2 linked regions of the Coturnix japonica genome follow. Each later gene encodes a partner of the first gene's protein in a complex. Links are inferred from orthologs where the notes say so. Each region holds a gene or a part of one and is shown on either strand. Other genes may lie near its edges.

Region 1 (6,366 bases):
GAAACAGTGCTGAGGTTTGAGGCTCTGTGCATTGGGAAGATGGAACTGAATGGCACGAAATGCATCTACACAACAGATGTCCATAGGGTGGATTCAGGTGTTCCCCAAAAGCCCCATATATCACTACTCACTGTCCAGGCAGGGCTCACAGACGGTCTGGTTGACCCCACAGGGCTGCACCACGCCCTCACCCAGGTTGCAGGCTTTGCAGCATTCACCGCTCGTCGTGTACATCTTGGTCAAGCACTTTTCCTTGGAGCCCCAGGTGGGTCCCTGGGAGAGAAAACAGCCCAGAGGTGACTCTTGTTATGGGAATTGCAACGATGGGCTGACAGAGATGCTGTATCCAGGGATGGTTTTGCTGCAGGGTGGATACTCAATGTCTGGGCTAAAGGGGGGCTGTGTGTTAGGTATAGGACCTGGGAGAAAGGGGAGATAAATGACTTTCCTATGCAAAGCTTGTTCATTTGCAAAGCTTCTACCAAATGCTACTGATCAAGGGAGGCAATGACAGCCCTTGGTCTGGGTTTGTGGGTCTTAGGGGGATGCTGGCTTTTCTGTAGGCTTACAGCATTATGTCCCCATCACAGGAGCTGTTCCCTCTACTGATGCTGTGCTGTTCTGAGCAACTCAGCCCTCCGTTGCTTGCAAAAAGCTGCCAGCCCCAGTGAAGGGTTCAGAGGGCTGAGGTCCCAATTCTGCACTGGGATCAGAAATCAGACCCCTCAGTGGAAATGAAGACTTTGACAGGAGCACAGAGAGCTTCAGCTGTCTGACAGGAGTAAGTGTACTAACTTATAAAACCTGTCATCACATATGGAAGCAATAAATATGCCATGAGCAGTGCGGTTAGAACCTCTGCGCATCCACTTTGTAGCTTAGGGAGAAGCGATGGCCATTCCCCAGTGCACTCCTTGGCCAGGGGTGATGTGTGGGGCTGGCTTTGCTCCTCCTGCTTACAGTCTGGAGGGTCCCAAAGTTCCTGGTGTGGCAGCTGGGATGAGTTTGTAAGGAAAGAGGATGGGGCAGATGGTGTCGGGACAGATGGTGCTGTTGGGCTGCTGAATGAGGCAGTGAGGAGGCAGAGCAGTGCTCAGAACTGGGGCCACCCGAAGGGACAGCAACAGCAGCAGCTGTGACCATCCAGGGTCAGTGTGTGCTCACACTCGGGTCCACTGTACTCGATGGGAAGGCTGCTGTCGGGGATGGGCTCCTTTCGGGGGGGGGAACCGTCCCTTTGCCACCAAGTTAAGGCTGATTTTGGAGGGGAAGAAACTCTCCAGGAGGCGGAGGAGCTCCACGTCCCCGTTCATCTGGCCGCCTCGTCAGCCCCTTTGGCCGCCGCTCTGCACAATGCGGTGTTATGAACTCATAGGCGCATCAACCGGCATCAGCCGGCCCGGCCAGAGAGACAATGGAGCGCCAATTATAGGCATCTGAATGACAAAGTGCTCCAATTACCCTTCTCTTGGAAGCGTGCGTTCTCCTTCTGCGCTGCTTTGCCAGCCCGTGTTGGCACCCAGCCCCAGCTACACGGGTGGGATGCTTGGCACGGAGGGACCCTCCCAACACCCCCCAAATGGAAACACCCCCTTGGAAATAGGAGTGGGGGGGAGCAAAGGGCTCTCTTTGCAACAGGGACGGCTCCAGGCAGCAGCGATGCGCGTGGCAGAGTGGGGCTGGAGCTCTCCATGCTGCTTCCTTTTCCCCAGCACCTGCAGCATGTTCTCCTGCTCGGGAGGGTTTGGGGAAGAGGGGAGCATCTGAACTTGGCTATAAATAGTGTTGGGAAGGCCGGAGCGGTGCAGCTGGGGCCGCAGCAGCCAGCTCTCCCACGCCGCCCGCGCCTGAGGCAGCTGCGAAGCAAAACCCACAGGGACAGAACCCGGTTACGCTGTTTCCTCTGTGCCAAACCGGACCCCCCCCCCCCGACCTCCCCTAGTTGTCCAACACTCCACGGTCCCCTCCCCGTAGGGTTGTCCTACCCTCCGTGTTTCTAAATGATGCGGAAAACGCACCTTCCAGCCCCAGATGCTGCACCCCCCCACCCCTCACCCCCCAAACCTCCCCGCCTACGTTTCCCTTTCTACATCTCAAGCGCTGAAACATCCATAAAGATTAACACGCTTATAAGAGGGGCACATGGTCTGCATTAGCCCGCTGAAATGTGCATGTTATTAACACAACTCCCGTTGACAAAGCCACAGGTATTAACACCATAAAGCATTTTGACAGCTGGACTGGGGTTGGGGAGGGGGGAGGAGAGGGGAGGGCACGGGGGGAAGCGCTGAGGGTGCGAGCAACACCTTTGAAAGCTTTTAATTGCTTTTGGAGTCGTTTTGGTGTTCCCTTGCCCTACAGGGGGTGGCCTTGGAGGAAGATGTGCGCAGCTCAGCACCATCATCACCCAAACACTGGCACGGAAAGCTGAGCTGCTCTGAAACGGGGAACGGCAGCAATGCTTCAGCTGGAGACGGGCCCAGCGGCAAGCCTGGATCCGAACGGCCCGCAAGGCTGACAGACGGGTTCTGTGTATTTTGGCGGAGCAACCTGTCTAGAAAAGGCTGAAGATCCGCATCCCAGCACTCCCCAAACTTTGGGCAGTGGGAGAGTCACGTCTGAGCCGTGTGGGTCCCACAGGGCTCTGCCTCCTCCCCTGACCCAGCTCTAGTCTGAGCAGTGCAGGTAAGGAGCTGTGGCAATGGGGTGCTGGGGATACAGCCCACAGCTGCGAGTGCACATTTGGACCTGCCCCGCTTGGGGCTCAGAGGAACAGCAGGTTTCCAACTACCCCAGATCTCTATGGGGCTGGATGGGCTTGGCAGGTGCAACCCTAAGGGCAGCCCAGACCTGTGGGGTTAGCTGTGGGAAATGGGGGACACCAAACCCAACTTGGAGCCATGAGCCACCCACACCATTCTCCCCCTCAGTCTCTACATGAGCCTGCTGAAGCAGCAGCTTTAATGCCCTACCCTACAGCGTCCTGCTGCCCACTGAGCCCTCTGGGACCCCACACATCCTCCAGCAGCAAAAGCCCCATTTCTGCCCCAGGTGGCTCAGTGCGTCCCCTTATCCCCTTTTCTGGGACTCTCCTTCTTCCCTGGTTTCCCTTGCTCTGAAGTTTTGTCTCCAGCGCAGGCTGAGGCTGTGCCCATCCCTGGGGCTTTGCCCTTCGTGCTGGGCAGTGAGTTTGGAGCCAGGAAGGGAAGGTCTGTGGGAGTCTTTGAAGGTGTGGGGTTCAGGAGGTGGGGGCACAGAGGTGGGGCTGCTTTATTCCCATAACCTCCTATGGAGAAAAGGGAAGGCAGAGCTCAGCTCGGTGTCAGCGGAACATGAGGGGCTGAGCGAGAAATCCCTACGGTGTTCCCCCCACCACTCACATCACCACTCCTCTCCCTATGCACCCAAACCTTCTGGGACCCTCCATCCCCATACAATTGACACTCCCACTCCCGATACCCCCGGGACCCTCCGAGCAGAACCCCACAGTCCCATGGTACCCCTCCATCCCAGCAGGACCGGGACAGTCCGTGCTGTCCATGCCCATTCCCCTCTGTGTCCGGACCCCCCCCGGCTTAGCCCTCAGCCCCTCACTCACCGTCGGCAGCAGGAGCAGCAGCAGCGGTACGAACCCGGCCATGGTGCTCCGGGGCCACCTCGCATCCCCCGGGCTGCCCTCCCTCTGCCGCCCGCCGTCTCGGCAGCACCAGAAAAGGGCTGCAAGTCCCTCCTCCTCCTCCTCTCCGCCCCCGGAGCATCACGGCGAGCAGCCGAGCCAGCACCCTCCTCTGTCGGCACACAAAGCCCGGACCCCTCCCCAGCACCCACCGCCCACCCACGAAACGTTTTCGGGTGTGTTTGGTCTCAATCCAGCCGACCCCTCCACCCTCCAATGATTCTCGTCCGTCTGTCCCCACACACTCTTCCCTGTCGTCTGTCTGTCTGCCTGTCCGTCTCTCACACACCCACGTCCATCCATCTCCGCACACCTCGCTCCAGCCCTTCACCAGCACGGTCCTCATGATGGGTGAGCAAATGGGTTCGTTAATTATAAGAACAGAGCGAGGCTCCAGGCTGTAGCTGGGATGGGGTGACCAGATCCCCTCTGGCTGCACAGCCAAGAGACAGCATCCCACAGGTAACATCCCCAGGACTCAAACTCAAACTCAGCATTGTCACAGCAATCCCGGTGACAAAGAGAATTTCCCTTTGTCACCGCAGGAGAGGCTGCAGTGCACAAAGCCACCTGCTCCTGTTTGTATTTCCACCCGCAGGTGTAAAATAGCACATTGACATCCTTCCTGTCCTACAGCCCCAACGTGTGCTGCTCCCCAGTGCTTCCACTCCATCACAGAGCTGCTCTGTCCCCATCCTGCCCAGCCCCAGCCCCGTGGTTGTGAACTCAAGCTGCGTGTCAGGGAGCGGAGCTGGAAATGTCATGGCCTTTCCCCAGCTCAGTTTGGCTCCTGCCTTGGTGTGTCAGCACCAAAAACGCTCTTTGTGAGGTTTGTTGGAAAAAATATGCAGCGAGTTTTGTGTGGCTTTGGTGAGAAGGTTTGCTGGAGGCTGCCCAGAAATGCTGGCGCCGGGGTTGGGAGGGATGAAGGATTCCTTCGCCCCCTGCTTACGTCACTCTGCCCCCAGTGCTTTCACCTAGCATAGGATGGAGCAGTGGTGTCTGTGGGTCTGTCTCTGTCACCCTGCTGCTGTCCATCTCTCAGCTTTACTGTGTTGGGATCACGATGTTGTCCTGTTGGCAGACACAAGCTGGATTCCTTCCTGAGCAGCGAGCTCCTAACCTTAATGACTCTATGAGTATATGATCTGTGATGCTTGTATGGCTGGCAGCTCCTGTGGGCGGCTTTGAGGAAAGTCCCTCTTTAAATAAGATTAACCCAAAGCCAAAGCTGCTGTTTGTTCTCCAATGAGGCAGCGTGGGAACACATGTGAGCCACATGGTGATGGGTTCAGGGCCAGGTGGGGACAGGGCAGCGTGCACAGAGACTGGATGTGGGGATGGGATGGGATGGGATGGGATGGGATGGGATGGGATGGGATGGGATGGCTGCCACCCACCATGAGCCAATCATCCCTCACCCTTTTCAGTGCTTGGATGATTGGCAATGGGGCAAAGCTGCTTGTGGACATCTGGCAGAGCTGGACACAGCTGAGGGAGCAGCTTGGGTCTTATGACACCAATTGCCTTTGCTGGTCTGCTGCAATGAGCAAGGAGGGGGGGGAAGCTGAGCTGCTGCCATGGGCCCATTTCATCCATCCCTCCACCCCAGGATGTGGCCTTTCCCTGTGGGATGCACCTCCAGGCTGCAACACTCCCCTGGAGAAGGATGTGAAAGAGCAACTCCCCCAAGCCCCAGTGCAGAGCTCGGGTGTTTTATGATGCTCTGACACCACCACGAGTGTCACCCCAAGAACAACCTCACCGCAGTGACGCAAAGCAGAGACGGACGGACAGAGACGGCCGCTCAGATGGGCTGCATCTGCACGGGGCTGGGCAGGCAGCCAGCACAAGTAAGTGGAAACTGCTGCTCCATCCCAACCCGCGTGGCTCCTTTGGTGAAGGCACTCCTTGTGCTTTACATTTACCCCCACCTCATGCTTTTTTTTTCCTCTCCCAGAAAGGTTGTGGCCCTTTCCTGGCTCTGTGCAATGACAAAATGCCTCTTAAAAGTCAGCTGTCACCTCTCAGAATTAAAACCAAAAGCTCTGGGCTTGCATTTGCTCAGGGAGCATCCTCAGGGCTGCTGGCAGAGCACAGCACTGCCTGCAACCCTGCAACTCCCAACCCCAACCATGAGGTCTCCCCACACTCAACCAGCTCCATGTGCCACAGCACGGCCAGCCATGCCAAGGGGCAACTCCTGGCCATTGAGAGGGGTCCAAAGTTGTGGTTCAGTGATGCTCAAGTTCCTCCTGAGCCACAGGGAGATGATGCTGCAATGGCACCATGCTGGCCTCCAGGAATGCTGGAGCAGGTTGGGGAATGGAGAACAGCTCATCTGCCTGTAAAGAGAAAAGGGGTTTCTGGCTTTTCTGCTGGCTTCTGACCCTGTTTTGTGCTGGGGAGTCATATACATGGGATTCACTGCCTGGGGGAGCACTTTGAGGCTCCTGGGGCTGAGTGGGCTCATCCTTGTTTGTGAATGGAAGCAGCAAGGAATGGGGCTGAGAGCAGAGGTGAGGAGGAAGCAGGGAGGGCTCCTGAGGGGAAGCATCATTCCTGGGAGAGACAGCTGTGCCCCATGCCCCTTCCCTCCCCCCCCCCCCTCATTGGAGCAGGGTGGTTTAATTAAAAGCCCAATTACAGCTTGGCAAAACACTGCATCCAGTCCCTCCCAAGGACACAGA
Region 2 (6,366 bases), on another chromosome or scaffold:
ACTAGCTGACATAACAGCCCTTAACTCAACGACTTCATTCCTACCCAATGTGTCACCCAGACAGGGAGAGAAAAACCTGAGCGCTGGCACTGAGCACACACAGCTCACAGAGCACATTGTGCAGTGACACAAGACAAGTTGTGTCTGCCTCCATCTTGAGCCTGGCGACAGCTGCAAGAGCACAACAGCAGAGGTATGTGTAGATGGTGTTTTTAGCCATAAATATTAGGAATGTTCTGCCAAGGAGACAAATTAGAGTGATATGTTGCACATCTCTGCCTGATGACTATGGCTGATCCAGGGTATGAGAGCGGCCTCCAGCACAGCACCAGGGCTGTAGCTCAATGCTGGCACTGAGATGAGGTGCTGTCAGATCCCGTGTGGGTGAACCCCCAGCCAAACACAAGAGCAAATCTGAGCTGCCCTGGGCTGGCAGCACCTCCCAGGGAGGCTGGGGCACCAACATGGGTGCACAAAGGGTACTTGCAGCGGGCATCAAAACCTGACTGAGCTCTACCAGCAGAAAGGGATTCTCCAGGTCCCTGGCACTGATTGCCATGGAAATTTACATTCAAATCTTATGCCATACATGAGCAACCGAGTAGCTCTCACCCTAGAAAATCCATATCGAAACCAGTCATTTCCTTTAGGCTCCCATCCAAGAAAGCTTCCAGGCTTGAAGGCTCCCAAAAGTGTTCAACAAACACTCACTCAAGCATTTGTTCCAGTGCTTAATCTCATTTTGCCCTCAGTTTCAGCTCCAAGCCAGACTTCACCCCTCCCCTCCCTCCCCCACGAGCACCCCATGGAAGTCCATGGGTGAAAAGTGGCTCTTCAAACTGACCCAAAGTTACCAGAAACAGCAAGCAATGTTCCAAACAGCAGCTCAAGACAGGCTGGGTCTCAGCTCTGCAAGGAAGCACAGGAAAAATGTGCAGCGAGGCCTGGAGGAGCCTCATGGAGCTGGCTGCACCACAGCCCCTCTGCTGCAGTGTTCTGATGGCATCGTGCTCCCACTGCGCCCGGCTGACCCTGCTCCCAGCACACAGCATTGTGCAGCCTCACATCACAGTGCTCAGCTGCTGCCCTGAGTATTCTGCCAGGGAGAAAGGAGGCTCCCAGCAGCATCAGGCTGCTCCGTGCTTCTATAACAATGCATTTCCTACAGCCTAGAATGAGTAGAACAGAGCTGGTCGGGTGCATGCAGGAGGAGCTGTCGTACTGCTAGGCAGAGCAGAGCTGAGGGACTCAACACACTGGAACACTGGGTCGGGCATCCATCTCATGCCATGCCCAACGTCCTGTAGGATCATGGCTCCAGCACATGCTGCTGCAGAGGTGGGGGCAGAGGAACGGGGACCTGAGGCCACAACCCCTTCAGAGGGCTCAGCCTCGTGACTGAAACCTCCCAGAACACCAACCTCCAGCAGCAATGGCACCTTCAGCCCTGAGCCTCACACCCAGGCACCACCCCAAGGCCTCTGCAAGGAATTCCCCCTCAGCAACTTTGAAACCCGGAAGGCACCTGCACACCCTGTGCGGCACCGCCCGAGCCCATGGCTCTGACTGCAGACACACCTGGCTCACAGAACAGTGCAGCTGCTGCCTCTGTGCCACCCTGCACTCAACCACAGGAGAGCACTGCGGCCTCAGGGATGTCCCAGAATGTCTGGAAATGGAAGCTCTGCTGGTTACTGGGGCCTGCAGAAAGCAGCAGAAACCAAATTATTTCCCATCTGCAGATCTGCACTCAGCTGCCTGCGCCGCTTCCTGAAGTCAGCAGTTTCTCCTGAGTTCTCTCAGTATTTTTAGTTCGATACCAAGGAGCGAACAGCAGTGAACACACGAGCCCCACCTTCTGCCAGATAGAAACACTGCTAGGAAAAGAACACCGTTATCAGGCAGGGATGAGCAGTGATTTCTTTACATGCCAGGGCCACGATCCCAAGGTACTTGTGCAGTGACATAAGAGTGGTCAGAGTCTTTACAGATGACCTAATTGGCTTCGGACATCCGTCAGGCCTCAGCTCAGCCACGGACACACACAGCGCCAATTCAAGCAGTCCACACCCTTCCTTTTTTCGCTGCAGCACAAGGGAAAGCTGATGAAGCTGCACAGCAAAGCCACTTGGAATCCAATGTGGCTTTCTGCAAGGTTACTTCCCACACAGGTCGGTTCAACCACCCTGGTTCATCTCAGGGCTGCATAAGCTGCTGTGCTGCAGAAACAGGAAGCAAGAGCTGCTAAAACCAGTTCAAGCAGCACAGACACCCCGTATGATGGCAGCTCGAGGGGCCAGACGTGAGCTTGCCCAGAGCCAGGTCTAATTGCGTGGCAGCAGCAGAGCAGTGACCCCCCCCCAGTGCTGCCTGCAGGCAGGTTTAGCCTCAGGAGCACAGCGCTGGGTGCTCCCACAGCATTGCTGAGCTGCTTTATGAGCATGGAGATCTCCCGCCTTGCCCTAAGGCTGATCCCTGTCACAGCTCCAGGCGTGGGGAGGAGCTGTGGGTCGCACAGCAGCTGCTGCCAGGTGCTCTGCAGCCAGATCCGCAGTTGTGCACCGTGCTGGTGACACTGCCCTGCACTGCACAACACCTGCAGGTATCACCTGCCACGAGCATCACCCGAGAACGAGCAGACAGCTCCCACTGCTTATCGGATTTAAGAAGCCCTTGCAGCCTCGTACTCAAACAAGCTGCACGGTGAGCACTATGCACCTGTAAGTACAACGACTGCAGAGCTACAGCACGACCACACTGCAGGAGCTGCAAATGTCTCCTGGGCACCACGTGGAAGCGGCCGCCACTCAGCATCTCTGGGACAAGAACGGGACCACTGCAAGAGAACCGAGCCCATAGAGCACTATATAGAGCACTACGGCCGGGACCTGAAGCTCTCACAGCGATAATTGAGTGCTACAACCGAGAGCTCTTTAAGAGAAGGAAGTCACGGCTTCACGCAACGCGCCCGCCCAGGCAGGGAAACGGCACCATCCTTCCGGCACGGCCATGAGGCCCCGCAGCCCGGACAGCGCTCACTGCCGCTCCATCCTCCATCCTGCACCCGGTGCTGCACCGACGTCTCGGCTCTAACGCCAAACGAACCCAACCGTGGGGAAGTCGCCTTCAAGTTCCTCCTTTCAAAGCTCGAAACCATTTATGGAGAATCTATTTGAAGCCAGCGGGTCCCCACCCGGCTCCGGTCCGACAGCGGCGGCCGGGGCGGCCTCAAGGCACGAAGGCGCCGCTCTTCGCTCCGCTCCCCGCCGCGCACCCGGACGGCGCCCGCTGCCCCCTCGGCCGCGCCCCGGACCCTGGCGTGGCGCTGAGCCCGCGGGACCCGGCCCGGCCGCAGCGCACATGGCGGATCCCGGCGCCCCCCGCCCCGCTCCCTTGGCCCCGCCCCGCCCGGTCCCGCCGTCCCGGCCGCTCTCACCGTCCGCGCCGCGGTCCAACGCCGCCGGGATCCGCCCAGCCGCCCGCGCACCCCCGCACTTCCGGGACACGCCCGTCACTTCCCGTTATACGAGGGCGTGTCCCGCTCCTCACTTCCTGCCTCGACGCTGCGTTCTGATTGGCTCAGGGAGTACGCGCGCGTTCGCCGCGCAGCGCGGGCGCGGGAAAGGAGCGCGCGGCAGGGAGCAGGCGGAGCTCTAGACACGGTTCTATTTTATTACGGCAAAGGTGAAAAAGCCACCTCGGCCCAACAGGCAACCAGTAAAATTTATCCCAAAAATAACTCGGTACAAAACGGGTCTGGCTTCAGAATTAAAAAAAACCTTTACATGAGTTTAAAACCTATTCCAAAACATAAAAGTAAAACAAATCCCATCCTTGATATTAGTAGCCACAGTCGCACACCCCTCCCGCCACACAGCATGGAATGAGATGTCTGCAGTCCTTCCATGCGCCGCTCAACGCTTTAGCTGGTGTCCATCTGGAAGAGAACAGAGAGGAGCGTCAGCAGCCACCATGACCCCATAACCCACCATGGCCCCATAACCCACCACGGCCCCATAACCCACCATGACCCCACAACCCACCATGGCCCCACAACCCCCCAGCTCCATCCCCAACCCTGACACCCCCCAGCCCTGCCTGCCAACCCCAGGATGCTGCTGCCTCAATGGCGGAGATGCAGCCCAATCCACAGCACACACTGAGCAGACCTAAACTGCACCTCAGTGCTTGGGCCAAGTCCCTGCATCACTTCTTAACTGATTCTCAGTTAAGACTTTAGTCTTGTTGTGGCACAATATCTGAGCTCATTCTGAATGAAAGAAACCATGTGCACTGCTCTGCTCATCCACCTGCATTAGGGGTGATCAGCATCATTGACTTTTTTTCCTTTCTTAGCACCAAGCTGGTTATTTTATGTGTTTTTTCTTTTTGCTTTTCATTTTTCCAGCCTATTATCCCTTTGGGCTTTGGTTCATAGCTTTCGTTCATCACACATCTTGATTACTGCCAATTCTGGTTGACACAGGCTTCAACAAGCCAGGAGAAGTTGGAAAAGGGGCTATTTATTACTCATGAGTAACAGTAGATGTGGAGAGCTAAGGCAGCTGAAGGAACAGGGCAATGCTCAGCTTTAGAGGGAGGCTATTTAAGTCAAATGACCTGAAAAACAATTTCTCTTTCCAGCCAGCTGCCAGTGTTTATCAAAAGGACGCTGTAGGTACCCGTGACCATCATGTGAGCAGCACTTACCCTGGCATTGTAAGCATCCAGCTGTGCATCTAGTTCTTCTGCAGAGAGCTGCTGTTTGGAAGTTCTTCCAGCCCCTCTGCCTCTCCCTCTGCTCCCACCACGACTACCTCGCCTGGTACCTCCACCACCAAATCCTCCTGTACCACCACGGTTTCTGGTCATTCCACCTCTGTTTACACTGTGATTTTTAAAAAGCAACTGTTATAGTGCATTCTGGTTAACCCCAACAGGCACTCAGAAGGTTGCAGGACACGAGGAGGATTCCATGCTTCCTACACAGGCCAGTTCACTCCCCGTGCTGACTGGCACAGCGACTCCCGCGGCTTCTCACCTCTGTGCTGGTCTCCTCTGTGTATCTATCTGTGATGTAACCAGCTGAATGTTCATGGGGCGCCCTGCAGGAAAAGCAGCCAGTTACCCTGTGAGTGTGGCAGGCACACAGATGCCATCAGCCGTGCAGAGAAGCACACGACAGCCACAGAGACTCACCATCCAAGGGGACTCCATTGTACTGCTTCATAGCTTTCAGAGCATCTGCTTTCCTTTCAAAATGCACATCTGCTGTTCCTAGACTGCGTCCGGATCTGTCGTAGTGCACTGCTGCCTTCTTCAAGGTCCCAAATTCCGCAAAGAGTTCCTGAGAAACAGAGGGAGAAGTGAATATGCTTCAGTCAGCTCTGCAAACACCGAGCAGCCCAGAGAAGGTGCAGGCAGCTCCTGCTTTCAGCAATATCATGTACATTCCATGACACCACGCAAATAGCACCAGTGAAAGAAGGAACACAGGCCACTAAAGACTTCCAGAAAGCAGCCACAGGTGGCAGAAACAAACAGGATTTCATATCCACCACTTGAAGGGTGCTTGTATACAGCCAACAAAGTGGCCCCAAGGTATGCTGACCTGCTCCTCTTCCCAGGGACATTGCCAGTCTGTATAAACTGAAAGCAGGAAATCTTCTACTGAAGAGCATCGTTTACCATCACGAGCGATGGAAGGCTGCAACAGTGGAGCCACCCATTTTGTTTCACAGAGGCTACATCTAAGATGTACATCTGGGGACATCTCACTACTTTGCAAGTTTATACCTACACCCCACTCTTCAAATGTTTGAAGCACACAGAATTGTCAGGTGTCCAAAGCAGACACCACAGGCTGCCTTCCATATCACCTGCAGCAGAGCCCAAACACTATTCCAGCCATCTCTATAATTCCTATCCAAGCATTTGAAAGGAGCATATAAATATTTTCACTTCTTAAGCCAGCTGCACTTTATGCAAGCCTGTCAGTGAGTTTCTCTACTGTGTCCATTTACTAAACATGAACATACAGCACCCAACAAGCTTTCTGGAAGACAGCACCACATGGGAGGAGAGGTGCTCCATCACATCCCTGTCCTGCAGAGAAGCTGGAGCCACAGCACCACACATACTCCTACAAGAGCAACGTGAACGAGGCTCCCACCAAGCCCCTCATTCCTCAGCACTGAGCTGAGCAGAACCATATTAATGACACAATCAGCACAGAAACAAAGAAAACAATCAGTGCAGCTTAGTGGAAAATTACGGGATGGGCAGTAACAAAGAGGTACAAACCCATTAAGTCAGCTTTGCTGCTACATATAATATACACAGATGTTTGTCTGCTCCTGCAGTTCA

The links. The genes of interacting proteins can lie anywhere in the genome.
Region 2: the proteins of NGFR (region 1) and ARHGDIA are in contact, whole or in part, in an NMR structure (PDB 8X8T), measured with the Homo sapiens proteins. The link is inferred for Coturnix japonica from reciprocal best matches to the Homo sapiens genes NGFR and ARHGDIA. Residues at the interface, in NP_002498.1 of Homo sapiens: Arg274, Trp275, Ser277, Cys278, Lys279, Gln280, Lys282, Gln283, Gly284, Ala285, Ser287, Arg288, Pro289, Val290, Asn291, Gln292, Thr293, Pro294, Pro295, Pro296, Glu299, Lys300, Leu301, Ile307, Ser308, Val309, Gln312, Ser313, Asp316, Gln317; in NP_001172006.1 of Homo sapiens: Ala8, Glu9, Leu11, Ala12, Gln13, Ile14, Ala15, Ala16, Glu17, Asn18, Glu19, Glu20, Asp21, Glu22, Val25, Pro30, Ala31, Gln32, Lys33, Ile35, Gln36, Glu37, Ile38, Gln39, Glu40, Leu41, Asp42, Lys43, Asp44, Asp45.

What each region holds. Positions count from the first base shown.
Region 1 is NC_029542.1:2,821,327-2,827,692, forward strand, and holds the start of NGFR (tumor necrosis factor receptor superfamily member 16), read right to left. Parts: upstream 3,697-6,366; 5' UTR 3,641-3,696; coding exon 3,599-3,640; exon of another isoform or gene 2,362-3,598; intron 782-2,361; exon of another isoform or gene 591-781; intron 274-590; coding exon 132-273; intron 1-131. UniProt on the Homo sapiens protein: Low affinity receptor which can bind to NGF, BDNF, NTF3, and NTF4. Forms a heterodimeric receptor with SORCS2 that binds the precursor forms of NGF, BDNF and NTF3 with high affinity, and has much lower affinity for mature NGF and BDNF.
Region 2 is NC_029533.1:4,448,513-4,454,878, reverse strand, and holds the start of ARHGDIA (rho GDP-dissociation inhibitor 1), read right to left. Parts: upstream 3,555-6,366; 5' UTR 3,437-3,554; intron 1-3,436. Other genes in the region: ALYREF (THO complex subunit 4), read right to left, coding at 3,923-3,937, 4,711-4,888, 5,042-5,105, 5,200-5,347. UniProt on the Homo sapiens protein: Controls Rho proteins homeostasis. Regulates the GDP/GTP exchange reaction of the Rho proteins by inhibiting the dissociation of GDP from them, and the subsequent binding of GTP to them.